Rhinolophus ferrumequinum: one gene and its partner. The protein of the gene in region 2 interacts with the protein of the main gene of each other region in a biochemical or structural test. Links are inferred from orthologs where the notes say so. Each region holds a gene or a part of one and is shown on either strand. Other genes may lie near its edges.

Region 1 (6,890 bases), about 3.3 Mb from region 2:
CCAGTTCCTGGACCACCCTCCAGGGTCCTTCTGTACCACATTCCGCACCGCAGCAGATAGTGCCCCTGAGCTGGAAGGTAGGCGGACATCCTGACCGAGGACATCCTGACCCAGTTCTGTCCTTCTCCACTGGGTGACCTTGGGCAAATCACACAACTTCTCCACCAGCGACCTTATCTACAAACAGGATGACAAGAAAAACTTCTGCTCTTCACAGCTTGATGTTATAAAGAATCCGGGAGATAGTGAAATCAGCCTAGAAATGCAGTTTCTTTTTCCCTGCCTCACCCTCAACACTCCCACTGCAAAAGGGACCATAGAAGAACAACTCCCAGGGATGAGACTGACTACAATATTTTACCCCAGTTTGGCCATATTCATAATTTCAATAGCACTGGGAAATGGTCAGAGTTGTGATTAGGCTAAGAACTTTGAAATCAGATGCTTAAATCCAAACTCTTACTTAGCAGCTCAACAGCTGTGGGGCAAGTAACTTAATATGTCAGTGCCTCCGTTTGTTCAGTCTGTAAAATAGGGCTAGTCTGAAGATTCAGGGAGTTTATGTAAAATAAGCACTTACCACAGTGCTTGGCACACCGCTACCAGTCAGTACATGTTAGTCTCATGACTCCCAATTACTAGAACTGGTCCTCAAAACCAGGGCAGGAATCGTTAGCCTAAGTGGTCAGGTAAGGAAACTGAGGTAGGAGGAGAAGATATGCCCCAGTCACGGAGCGAACTCTGGGTTGGGTCTGAGAAAATAAACCTGGAGGCTGACGGGAAAACCTAGAAAAAAAAGAAAAAACTCGAGGACTCAACAGAGGTGCCTAACCAGGTGTTCTCTCTACCACGCGGCCACCCCTCTCACTCTGCGGAGCTTTGAGTGTGTCCTCCTGTAAACCCTGTCCTCCGTGGCCATCGGGCTGGGCCTGTTCTCCAAGTACTCCAGGGCCTGCACACAGTAGGCGCCTAGTAATGAAGAATGAATGACCACCGGCGTCCATGTTTCCCACAGGCCTGTTTTTTTGTTCCTGGAAACACTCCACCGCGACAACAGTCACCTAATTCTCTTCCAGTCCCAGAGACAGCCGAAACCGCTGCACCCCAACAGAGAACTTCCAAATCAGTCGGCGCCCAGGTGTACAAGCACCACACTCAGCAAAGACGGCCCACTACCAGCACACAGCAGGGGCCTTCACGCGCGGCCTGGCGATCCTCGGGTCCCTTCCTGGCCCCCTTCGTTCTGATCTGCCCCATGACTCATGCCTGAGCCGAGGTGGCAGGAGAGTGCAGTCAGCTAACCAGGGTGGCACAAAAAGGGCTTCACCGTGACTAGGCAGAAAAGCAACCGGCGTCAGGGCCCAGGCCCCGCCTGCACCTACCTCCCCCAGGGTGTGCGCGGGGGTGTGGCCGGGGCGGGGTCAGGGCAGGGCCCCTGCACCCTCCGCGCCCGAAAACTACACACCCTCCCGCTCCACGATTGGCCGCTCTGGACACGGGGGCTTATGGGGTGGTCCTCGCCCAGCCAATCAGGGGCCCCGGGGAGCCCATTCATTCACAAAAAATCAAGAAGGAAAAGGAGCGCGGCAAGGCCTGGAGCTGCGTGGAACTTTGAGGCACGCGCGCGTTCTGTGGAGCCGATGCGGGAGTACGGGAAAGCTGTATCGCTGGAAGCTAGACTCGTGCAGGGACGGCGCTTCCCGGTTCACAGTTCCGGCCCAGCAGCCGGGTGTGGCGTGCCCTCCATCAGGGCCACATCGCCCCGGGCTCCGCCCAAGACCCCATTAGGACACGCCTGCCGCCCAGCTCCAGCCGTATTGCTCTGAGCCACTCAGCCCGGAGGGAGGCGGCGCCCGGGCGGCTTCCCGGCTTCGATCTGCGACAGTAAGGTCCACGCAGGTGGCCCGGCTGCAGCTGCCGCCACGTGCGCGCTAAGCAAGGCGCCCCCCACCGCTCTCTCCCAATCCTGCTGGCCACTCACGGCAGTCGTCCTCGTCGCTGTTGTCGGAGCAGTCATCATCCTCGTCGCATCTCCATACAGAGGGGATGCAGCGTTCGTTCCGGCACCGGAACTGGTCCTCTTCGCATTCCTTGACCGGCCCTGCGCAGGGAGAGGGGAGTGAGCCGGACCCACGGACCATGCAGTCCTGGCCACCCGGAGGGGTCTACTGGGGTGAAGGAAAGGGACAATGCTGAAGCTAACCGCCCCGGGTACCTCGGGCGCCCTTGATCCTAAAGGAGGGCAGGAGGGTTCCTGGGATGGCGGGCAGCGCCGTGGCACGACGAGGCCAGGCACACAGTCTGTTTCACACGATTTAGGCATACCCCCCATTCAGACACACTCACCCACACACTCGGCCCATAGTCAGAGACCTACGCAGACAGCACACAGAGAGCCCACAAACACGCCGCGACACACGCACTGGGCGCAACGGGCACATCCTCCTCTCGCAGGCTGCCCCTCTTTCTCAGCAGTACGCAGGGATCCCCGGAAACGCATTGTCAGGCGGGAAGTCGCCTGGCTCCGCTCATCGCCGCCGCGGAGAGCTCGTGTCAAATGAACCCCAACCACTGGAATCAGCCCACACAAAACCATCAATGACCAACCCTCCCTGCAAAGTTCCGGTCCGCGGAGCGTCCACTGCGCCCATCCCCCAGGAGCAGAGCCCAAAGCACAGGGAGCCGCGGGGGGCGAGGGACAAATTATGGGATAACTCGGTCTGTAGGAGTCTATTCCCCACTAGCGCCTCTGCCAGGCGGGGGTTGGGGGCCCTGGCGCAACCCGCTCCCTGTCCGCCGGGCCGCGCTTTGTTGGCAGCTCCGGCAGCGCAGAGCCGGGCCGGGCACCAGCTGCACGCACCTTGGCCGCCAAGCAGTGAATCTGCCGCCGCCGCAGGATGCTGGAGCCGCAGCAGCAGCAACAGCAGCACCAGCGGCCGGAGCGCGCCCCGCTCGGGGCGGCCCATGGCGGGCCCCGGGCTCCGGCCGCCGCGCCCCGTGCACCCCGTGCCGCTGCCGCCGCCGCGCTTCAACCCGCCGAGTCCTTGCCGCGGCGCCGGGGCTGCCGCTGCCCCCGCCGCCGCCGCCGCCGCTGCCGCCCGCCCCGGCTCCTCGGCTGCATTTCAAGCAGGTTCCGTGACGCTCGGCGGCGGGGCGGGCTCAGGCTGGGCGCGCGGCCCCGGCCCTGGGCTGCCGCCACCGGCGCGCGCGCCCCCTCCCGCTGCCGCCTCCGCCCCACGCTCCTCGCTGCTGCCACCTCTCCCTCCTCCCTCATGTCCTTGGTCCACTCCTCCCTCCCCAGGCTCTTGGTGACCGTGCTCAGAGTCCCCCTGCGTGCTGGGCGCTGCAGACGCTGGGGTGAGCCTAGCGAGGTCCCTGCCCTCAGAGGTAGACAGTCCAGGGGAAGCAGAACAGGCTGCCTGGAGCAGGTGACAGGCTAATTGATGGAAGGTTGATGGATGCCTAGGAGTGAACTTGGGCCGGAGGGGAGAGGATGTTCCTAGATGCACAGGCCTATGTAGTGTGCACATGGCGCTGAGGTGATGATACACAGGAGCTGGGATACCAGGATGTGCGAGATCAGGGAGAAGGTGGGGGAGAGGGACTGGGTCTCTGCACCCCGCATCTGCTCCAGCCCTGATTACACATCTGAGTAGCTGGTTAATGTGCTCATGTACATCTGTGCACGTTACCAGCTCACGTGACCATGGCCGAGGATGTGAGGCAGGTGACTTGGGCCTGGTGCAGACTTTATTCATTCATTCTTTTTCGACATTCTCCAGAGGGCAGGCCAGAGGGGAGACAATCAGAAGGACCCACAGGGACAACATGGTAGTCCTTGCTGTGATGGAGAAGGGCAGGGACTGTGGGGCCCCACAGAAAGGATGTATCATCCCTGCCCATAGGGAATGCACACTCAGGGCCTCTGTCCGCCACTGCTGCAGGCCTCTGTATGAATGAGAAGGTCCCTCCTCTGGAAGGTCACAGCCCCACCTCACCCATACCGGGGTGCAGGGTGCAGACCGCAGACCCAGGATGAGATTTTAGCACACTGCTAGTAAGCAAAGCCCAACCCCCACAACCTTCTTTGGACAATGAGGCTTGAGGGCATTGGCCATTAAAAGAGACAGACTCTGTTTCATCAGCAACCTCTGGATATTACTTCCCAGAAAGGGCAGGCCCTTAGCAATGGCTGTGGCCACTCCACAGAAAGCCCAGCAGGTACTCCTGCCATTACGCCTTCTATCTTTGTTCATTCAGCCAACCTGTCCTGGGCCTAGAGGTGCCAAGATAAATCAGACATGGTACCAGCCCTGGTGGGGAGACATACCGTCAACAGACGACAACGAAATGCAGGCACGCTTTCAACAAAAACTTAGGGAGCACCTACTATATACCAGGCATTGTCTGAGGCCTGGGGATACAGTGTAGAAATAGATGAGGTCACTCTTGCTCTCCTGCAGCTGACATTTTAGTTGGGAAAGACAGACACAAAAGCAAGAGAATAAAAAAGATAATTTCAGATCACAACTGCTGTGGAAAAAATAAAACAGTGTAATATAAGAGTGATGGCAGGTAATTTTGGAGAGGTGATCAAGGAAGGCCTCTCTGAGTTGGTGACATTTCATTGAATGGCAGGAAGGAACCTGTCATAGATTGAATGTTTGTGTCCTTCCCAAATTCGTATGTTGAAACCTAATCCTCAGTGTGAGGGTATGTGGAGTGATGGGCCTTTGGGAGGCAATCAGGACATGAATGGCATTAGTGCCTTCATAAGAGAACCCAGAGAGATCTCTGGCCCCTTCTACAATATGACAAGACAGCGAGAAGAAGGCTAGCTATGAACCAGGAAATGGGCTCTCACCAGACACCAAATCAGAGGGCACTTTGATCTTGGACTTCTCAGCCTCCAGAACTGTGAGAATTAAATTTTTCTGTTGTTTATAAGCCACTCGATCTATGGTATTTTGTATGGCAGCCCAAACAGAGTAAATGGAGCCCAACCACATGAAGATCATGTGGAACAGCATTCCTGTTAGAGGGAAGAGCAGTGCAGAGGCCTTGAGGTAGGCTGGAGCTTGGTGACAAGGAGAAGTTGGTGACCAGGTAAGGTCAGAGGGATTCAACAAGGCCCTGATCATATGAGAGCTTTATAAATCGTAGTAAGGAGTCTGGATACTGTTCCAAGCACAATAATGCCCACTGTGCCAGCAATATGCCCACTGTAACAACAGGGTACCTGGGACTATGGAGCGTATAGAGCACCTCCTAAAGACCAGATTGACCTCCCCAGCTCAGCCCTTCCTCCTTCACTCTGTGGTCTTAGGAAAGTCAGTTCCCATCTCTGAGCCTCAATTTCTCATCTGTAAAATTGGGGAATTTCCAAAGTTCATTCTAGTTTTAAGATAATGGTGTGGACTGAAGTTCAGAGGCAGTAAGGTAGAGAGATTAAGAGCCTGGGTCAGACTGCCTGGGTTTAAGTCTGTTCCTTCCCTTCTTACTTATATGACCTTGGGCAACTCACTTAACCTCTGTGGCTCAGTTTCTTCATCTGTAAAATGGGAATGATGAGGGTTATAGTGAGGATTTTATTAGATGAGATTATGTATGCACAATATGCAATATACAGTAGGTGCATAATAACTTTGTTATGTTGCTATTATTCAAACATAATTCCCTATTCAAAAACCTCTGATGACTTCCCAACACAAATATTACAGATTGAGACCAGGCAAAGTGGGGGGTGTCTTTGATCATACTGTTCCACATATGTCTAGTTGCAAAAGTGGGCAACTCCTTGTCTCTCAACAGCCCCCCTCAGGAGAAAGTTCTCCAGGCTCCCATCAACCCTCACCTAGTTAGGGCCACTTCCCTCTTTCCCCAGTCAGCCTGTGATCTCCTTGAGGACAGGAACCTGCTGTCCTGCATTTCTGAGTCCTTGTTTGTTCCTGCCCTTACTGAAGGTTTCTGTAGCCCCAGAAGGACTGTGTCTTATCATCGTTATATTCAGAGGATAAATACAAGGCTTGACATATAGCAAGCATTAGATAAATGATGTTTAAATACTTGAAAAAGTTAAAAGGAAAACCATATCACGTTACAATAATAGCTAATACTTATTGTACGCTTGTGGGTGATCATCCAAGTGCTCTAAATGCTTTAATTTATTTAGTCCTTACAACAGCTCCATGAGGCAGGTTTTACGTTTATCCCATTTCATAGATAACCAAACTGAGGAATGGGTAGGTCACACAGCTAGTAAATAGGTATTCAAACCCAGATGGCGGAATGGGGAATTGTTCAGGGCACATAAGTTGCTTAATTCCAGTGAGGGGCAAATGGAGAAAGCCCAGCCCTTGGTACACACCAGACACCAGATGAACATTGAGGTCCTGGTACACCTTCTGTTGCCCGGGGGACTTCTTGCTTTACCTGTCCTCTCTCTCCATCCTAGGCTGACTCAAAGATATGGGCCTTGTCCACTCCTGGGTTTCCAAAGAAATCCCTCAAATCCAACCCAAAGTGCAATGAATTCCCTCCCTATGAGACAAAAACAGGGACATTCCACCTGCAATCAGCAAAACACCCTTCTCCGCCCCCCTCAAGCTTCCAGGACCTTCCTCTAGAGTCACCAGATGCCTAGCAGCCCACCGCATGCACATCTAGTCCCTCACGCTGCCCCTCAAGAACTGAAGCTCCAGGCCTCTGCCAGGTTGTACCCTCTGCTTAGAACACTCTTGCACTGGCTAATTTCTAGTCATCCTTTGGGCCTCAGTTCCAATACCTCTTCCTCTGAGAAGCCTTCCAGCCTGGTCTGGAGAGGTCCTGCCTCCTCCTCTGGGCTCCCACAAAACTGAGTTTCCCAATCTCTCTGATCATACCGTGCTGTT
Region 2 (7,544 bases):
ATTCAGATTTTATTGTTGAATACAATGAACATGATTAAATGTTTCAGATATGCCTATTCAGACCTTAAGCAAACCACCAAAAAAAAAAAAAAAGAAAGAAAGAAAGAAATGAAAAACTACTAAAAATCATCTTCTAAATCTGTTTGGGGAAGAGCTTTAATTGCCAACTTGATGTGAAGGACTGAATTCCCACTTGATAGGCACTGTTCCCAAGAAGATAGTAACAACACGTTTGCACTTCCCACCTCAGCCTCTTCTCTCATCCCTGCTGATCCTCTCCGAGTTGCCAAATAGTTACAAGGTCAGTCTTTCAAATCACTGCATTTTGAACTTCCTAAACCTTTGAGAGGGCCTCTGTGTATGGAAAAGAACAATAGCACTTCCAAAGCCATGTCTGGGAGTTCTTCAAAACTCCATTTGAATGCTGGGGTTTCAATCAAAGACATCAGCAATTTCTGATTGCTTAGAAGTTGACTTTTATACAGCTTTGATTAGGTCGCCCTTCTCAATAGGAAATCAAGAAAATCTCTGATCCCTTTTAGATTCCAGAATTGTCTCCAAGCCTTGTCAGGATAGGAAGTGAAAGAGCCGGAGGGGCTGGGGCAGGGGCGGTGGAGCTCGCTCCTCGTCACGCAATCTCTCCCCTCCTGCACATCTATCTTCAAGCCTGGGCAATTCTGGGTTCCGTCCAGAATCACGCACCACTGAGATAATAAAAACAATGGGTGCTAATTCAGGGGGTGGGGATGGTTTACCACGTTATGGCTTTCCTGAAGACCTATCATTGGCACATAAATGTACAAACGTGAACCCAATAATCAGGGGGTTCTGAATGTAAGCTACCTTCATATGATTACTTGAAAAAATGTTAAGTATTATGAAGTGTCAGCGGAACCCCCACAAGGCCTTTATTCAAAACCATCAACATTGCGAAAGTACTTCGAAATGGCCAGTAGGAGGGGAGCAGAAGGGAGGAACAAGCGACAGAGGATCCTCCTGCGGTCCCGGCAACTCGCTATAGAGGACGGCACTGTAGCATCCATTTCGGAGGACTCGCTGGCCCACCCAGCTCCGGGGCAGCAAAAGGCCCGCTGGCTTCCGCAAGCTTTCCACTCGCCCATCTTTCTAAAGGAGCTAAGCTCAGGCGTGCGCCAGCATCCAAACGCACCCGCAGGCACCCACCTCCGTGGGCACGCACCCCACCCTCGCCGACACACGCCGGAGCACACAGATGCCCGCGACGCGGCGCTCTCAGCTCCTCCTCCACCGCCAAGCCTCCAGCGAATGCCAGACTGCTGTCGCCAAGCGCCCCGGGCTTCCCCACCCCCATCCCATTCCTTTAGACTCTCCCAGCCCAGGCGGAAGTGCCCAGGCGAACCCCCAACAATGAGGACTTGTGTGATGCAGTTGGGGGTGGACGGGGAGCTTACAGGGAGTAGAACGTACACAGTCTGGCGGGGTCGGGAGGGAGCTGTGCAGGAGCGAAGTGGCATCAGCCTCTGGCAGCAGCCTTCCCTGGTGCCCTCCGCCTCCCAACCCTGCACCATCCCGCGTCCGGTCCACCACCCACACAAAGGCGTTTTAACAGGAGCAGAAAAAAGATGCGCCCTCCCACCAGGGGTCATAATGGTACTCTGCAGGACGAAGGCAGACGGGAAGGAGAGTCCGGGCTACAGTAACCACAGCGGTTTTGAAATTTACTTTGTACGCTCATCCCAAAACCCCTTTCCGACGGCGCGACACAAACTCCCCTCATCTCTGACTCCCTGACTCCAGGTTTTCTTGGCGACTGAGTCCTCCTTTTAGGGCTTCCTTAAGAGCCAAATCTTGAGGATTTAAAGTTTCCCCAGTAGGAAAAAGAAAGAAAAAGAAAAGAATTAGAAGAAGAAGAAAGAAAACCCTGAGCTCTGCATCCGAGGCAGAGCATGGAGTCTAGAGCATAGAAAAGCAAGAGGTGCGGGTTGGGGAGGCAACCTATTGGGGTGGCAGGGCGCCTGGGGAGTGGAACGGAGGGGAGGAAAACGATGGAGAGCCCGGCCGGTGGAGGACCCGGGGAAGGGCTGGAGTCAGAGGCGACGCGGGCTCTAGCTCTGACTGCTGTCTGCGAAAGCGTAGGGGTTCCTGGGATACATCCGATTTTTCCACAGGTCGGGGCAGAACCGCAGCGCGCAGAGGAGTAGGGAAGTGAAAACTGGGTTTGGCTGAGTAAGAAAGAGGATCCAGCCCCGGGACGCCGCCAGCGAAGCAGGGAGAAGGACTCGAGAAAACCGGGTAGCTTTTGGAGTGGGAGAACGAAGGTCCGTGGTTGGGTAGAGACTGGAGCGTAGAAGGAAGGAGGTTGCAAGGGGTCCTGGAGACAGACAAGTATTTGGGGTGAGGTCTGGAGAGGGGACCGCGAGTGGTCAGAAGTAGGGAGATTGTGGGTTATGGTGGAGACGCAGAAAGAAGGCTCAGAGGTTGCCCCTTTCCCCAGCAACTGGAGGGAGCGGGCGGAAAACTGCAGTCGCTGTCCCCGCGGTACCCCTAACCAAACTCCTGAGAGGGGTGCCCTGGGTGTCCCCGCGCCTTGTGCCCACCGGGCAACTGCCCGCTCTGAACTCCTGTCCTCACGGAACTCCTGCCGCCGCCGCACCTCACCTCGGCTCGCCGCGAGCATCCTCCGCCGCTGCCGCAGCCGCGCGGGAAGCGGCTCCCCATGCCCGGCGGGCGGCAGCACTCAGGCACGCTCTCCAGCCCGGGGAAGCCCCGGCGATCACGGAGCTGGGTCCATCCTCCCCGAGAGCCACGGCCCCGCGTCAGAGCAGGGGGAGGAGACCGCCCTGTGTGCAGACCCGCCTCCTCCTGCAGCCCCAGCCCCTCCTGCCCCACGCCCACGGGGCGCCCGTGGGCGCTGCTCACCTGCTGGCAACCCAGCCGCCGCCTCCGGGGTGCCCGCCGCGCGCCCCTTGTCCCAGCCTTGCGGCTCCTGCTCTCGCTCCCGCCCGGCGCTCTCTGCGCTGCCCGAGCGCGCTCCGAGGGTTTAGCCGAGTCGCGGTGGCGACGAGGAGGAGGAAGAGCGAGCCAGCGAGCGAGCGGGGGCGCCGCGGTTCGCCGTGGCGCCTCTGGGGCCCTTGCACTCACTCCCCAGCCCGGCGTGGAGGGGGAGAGCGGAGCAGAGAGCACAGGGTACCCAACCCCGGCTGTGCCAGCGGAGAGCGCGTGGGGGAGAGAAGGAGAGAAAACTACCGGACTCGGGTTTCAGAAAGTATCCAGTGTTTTCGCCACCATGACCACCACCACCACCAGCTGCAGCCCTCGCCCGGCCTCCCTCATTTTTATCTAGGGCTACTCTTTTATCCAAACCTCTAAACATAGGCACACCCAAATACAAAGAGCGCCAGTGGGTGAGAACTAGAATTGAGGTTCGGCAAGGACATGTAGCCCCCACGCAGGAGGGGGCGCTAACTCCCAGCGGCCAAATGTGGTTTGGCAGCTCTGGTCTTCGCTGAAACTTCCCACGCAAAGTTGATAGAGGAGAGGGTTGCATCTGTCACGTTTTCATCAGTCCAGGGACTCAGGCAACTGAAAGTATGCAGGCCCCAGGTAAACCCCAACTCGCCCCTTCCTACCCAGCCTCCCCACTCCTTTTCTTAAAATTCCTAGGAGAGGAGGAGTCTCAGATTAGAACATGCTTGGGAGAATACCCCAGCTTCCTACTTCTGGTCCTGGTTTACAAAAATTCAGTAAGTGGCAGAAAATATTGTGTCGGTCTGGAAATTTTTCTATCCTGAGACTGGATTCAACTCCAGTAAATGCTTGTTGTGGTATATTGGCCTCCAGAGGGCAAAATGCCAGGTGTGGGAGGAAACAAATCAGATCAAGTGCTGACCCATTGGAGCAGGTCATGGAAAAGGAAGAGTCAGGAAACTGTCCTTCAAAAAGTTTATTTTTATCCTTTGTAGGGGCCACACTTCCTGTCCTCCAGCTGTGTAATAATAAAGCTAATGTGGTGGATTTGAGTTTTGTTTTTTTTCCCTTATAGCTTCTGTCACTCACCCATGAAAATTTAATGAAGCATTTAGGGTTATTACCTCTAGAGTCAATGGGCTAAAAATATTTAGCCTAATGCAATCCTTGTGGAGCCAATAGGTCTGTGGCTTGTACATCCAAAGTCATCGAGAGACCCTCCTTTTCACCACAAAATTCACGACCCATTAAACTTATTCCGTAATAACAGCTTCTGTACAAATGGAGGCCCCAGTGTATGGAGGCTGTCATGCACCTCCTGAAAAGATAGCAATTTACACAGAGACAAGAAAAACGTGTGAGGTCATTGGCAGGATACAATCTAGGGGAAATAGTTGATCAGAGGACACTCCCAGCAAGGTGGGAGGCAGGTGCCCCCTTGATATAACTGTTTCTACTGACTCCTGGGTATGACCAGCAAATCTAATGGTGGGGACCACAAAACTGGCTCAAGTCTCTCCGGCTTTTTCAATGTTCTAGAGAGTGGCAAGAGTTACTATTGAACACTTAAGATTCATTTAGTAGGAAGTTCAGGCTCTCCAGCCAACTCTAATAAGATTAATAAAAGACTTCAGGTTCCTACTCTGTAAAGACAGACATCGGGAATCTGAACTCAATACAAAAAAAACAGAAATAAAAACAAAAACACCAGGGAACACAGACCAATCAAGAAGACTTGGTTGAAATAAAAGGAAAGAGTATAGAAAACTATTACGCACTTCAGGTGGCTGGGGCAAATGTCAAACTTTAGATTATCAAACAGAGGTCGAACTTTTCATTGACTCTACCAAAAAAAACAAACAAACAAAAATCCAAAGTTTCTCCATGCTTCAGTGGATAGCCAGGGAACATAAAAACCATTTACATCCATTTTAATATCCCACATGTAAGAGTTGTTGCGATCATCCCTCTTCTACCTTGTTCTGTTTTCAATTGACATCATGATAACAGACACTGAAGGGAGTGTGGAACACTGAGTTGGAAGAGTAATAGAAATGGAAAAGGCTCATGTAAAACTCTATTTCTATTCAGTGCTGGACATGGTCCACTATGGAAACTGGGCAAATTCCCATTAAATCCAACAGGGGCAACAAGCTGCAGCTGTTCTCAACTCCAGGCTGGAAGAAAGCATAATATGTAGATTCTAACTGCACACAGCTGCCCAAGGACCTAATAGTCTTTTGGGTTAAGCCAAGCCGAATTTTGAAGTAGTACTATTTTAACTTATGCTAAACATGTCAAATAACAAGTCATCTCAAATTTACGGTATTTTTTCTTCTCATTTAAATAACAAGGCCATTTGTATTAAGTTTTGCATATGAAAAAAAATCCATATGCTTTCTTCTACCATCTACTCTGAGAAACAACAAAGTAATGAGTACAGCAAAGATGTATATATTGCTTATTATGTTTCAGGCACCCTTCTGGGTCCTTTCCATATCTTAATCATTTAGCCTTCGTGCTAACCCAGTGAGAGAGGTACTCTCATGGTGTGTACTGGATAGAATACAGACTGGAAGCTGATGGGCCTGCATCAACTTTGACAAGTTACTTACCTCTCTGAACTTCTAAATTCTACAATGGTGATACCTACTTCGTGAGACACGTACTTCATGAGATTGCCGTGAGCCTTAAATGAGATAATGCATTGGACATGGTGGGAACAGAATAAGTCACACACTATGCATTGGTTCTCTTTCCAGAATTCCAAACTAGTTAATTTTAAGTCAACAACAACATTTATGGAGTCCATTCTATGCATCAGGCACTGTGCTAGGCATTGGACATAATGATGATAAATCAGAAACAGATCCTGCTTTTGAGAAGCTCAGTGTCAACTGAATAAAAAACATGGGCATGGATAGCATGCAGATGGCAAAAGGAGTTTTATTGAATTCTCATAATTCATCCTTATGCACTTGATTCTCAAGATACTCAGAAGGGCTGCCTATTTAACTGCTGTTTGAAACTGACCCATCACTGAAAGCAAAACCAAATGTCAGAAATCTTAAATCCCACTGGCAATAACTCATCCGAAGAAAGCAATGCAAAGTAGCCTGTTTTGTGTATTCTATATGATTTAAAATTCTCTTTATTCCTACATTTGTTTCAAATATACCTTCCATTGGATGGAGTATAATAAAATGAATTTGTGCTGTAAGCGCTGGGAGTTTCAAACACAAATTATTATATAGCCACCATTTATTAAATAGTTTAAGTGCTTGCATATGCCAGGAATATGCTAATATTTCTATACACATAAAGCTCTCAAATTAATAAAAAATTAATGTTCAGAAGGAACATTTTTACAAAGCTTATTAGAGACATCATGTGTTCAAAATATACTAACATATAGAACACAGAAAATTTCAAAGGTTAATACCAAAGGTGTAAGTTTCTCACAGTCCCTTTCATTCAAAGTCATGTTCAAACTCAGATTGTATTCTATTCACTTATTCAAAAAATATTTACTGATCACTTACTCTATACCAGACATAATGTCAGGCATGAGCAGAAGATAAAAGCAAAACAAAAATCTTACTCTCCAACAAGCCATAGCCACATGAAGGAAACATGTCATCATGTTGCACTGCGATCAGTGCTATCCGTGATAATGCTAAGTACAGGATTTTAGCGGCACATCCAATAGGGGTATTTAACCCAGGGTAGGATGTTAAGAAGACCTCACAAAAGAAGTTGTATCACCCTGAAAGATAAGGAGTAACCGGATGAAGAAGGGAAGGGTATTTCAGGCAAAGAAAAGAGAATGTGCAAAAGCACAGAAGAAATTATTCTCTGGGGGATGAGACTGTAGTTGACTCTAGAAAAACAGCATAAACAAATAGGAAGGGGTCTGGCTTGCCATGTTCAAGACTTTTGAATTTAGTGTGAAAATAAAGGGGTCCAGTTTTGAAAAAAGCAGGAAAAATATTTTGCAAACCTTACATTATCCACATTTCAGACACTTTTCTTCTCTGCTGTAGAAACAAGTAAACTATCCAATTTCTATTTCTCTTCTGAGGTCAAAAAAGCAATGAAAAAAAATTTCTATGTGGCTTCATCAAAACAGAAGATCCCTTCTTTTATGATACTGGCCTTGCTTGATTCCAGGGAAAGGTTGTTTGGCAGTATTACTAAACTTGACTCTGGTTTACAGTCACTATAAATAACAGTCCTTTTATTTTTCCAAGGAGGGCGTGGAGGAGAGTAGCAACACTGCAATTGCATTTATGCCAGCAGTCTGCTCTTTTTAGCTAAATGCACAGAAGAAACAAAGTGGAGAGTTAAAGTGATTGTCAAAGGGCTCATAAGTCCCAATACAAACCCCCAATTTTTTCACTCATAAAGTGGCATTAAGGGGATGTTTGTACTTGAAAATAGGAGTGGACTAAACGTATCAGAAAATGACTGAATTTCTGATGCCTAGAGAGTATCAGGGCAGAGAAGAATCAGCACATCACGTGACATCGCTGCCATGTATTTTGTGACTACTGTGTTGTTTGTTTGTTTGTTTTGCCTCCTTGGTGCCATTCCTCCTT

Evidence for each region.
Region 1: the proteins of DAB1 (region 2) and LRP8 form a complex in vitro, tested with the Homo sapiens proteins (2 studies listed by BioGRID). The link is inferred for Rhinolophus ferrumequinum from reciprocal best matches to the Homo sapiens genes DAB1 and LRP8.

The regions. Positions count from the first base shown.
Region 1 is NC_046292.1:38,163,340-38,170,229, forward strand, and holds the start of LRP8 (low-density lipoprotein receptor-related protein 8), read right to left. Parts: upstream 3,010-6,890; 5' UTR 2,967-3,009; coding exon 2,861-2,966; intron 2,102-2,860; coding exon 1,982-2,101; intron 1-1,981. UniProt on the Homo sapiens protein: Cell surface receptor for Reelin (RELN) and apolipoprotein E (apoE)-containing ligands. LRP8 participates in transmitting the extracellular Reelin signal to intracellular signaling processes, by binding to DAB1 on its cytoplasmic tail.
Region 2 is NC_046292.1:41,418,856-41,426,399, forward strand, and holds the start of DAB1 (disabled homolog 1), read right to left. Parts: upstream 3,008-7,544; 5' UTR 2,899-3,007; intron 2,751-2,898; exon of another isoform or gene 2,638-2,750; intron 1-2,637. UniProt on the Homo sapiens protein: Signaling adapter of the reelin-mediated signaling pathway, which regulates the migration and differentiation of postmitotic neurons during brain development.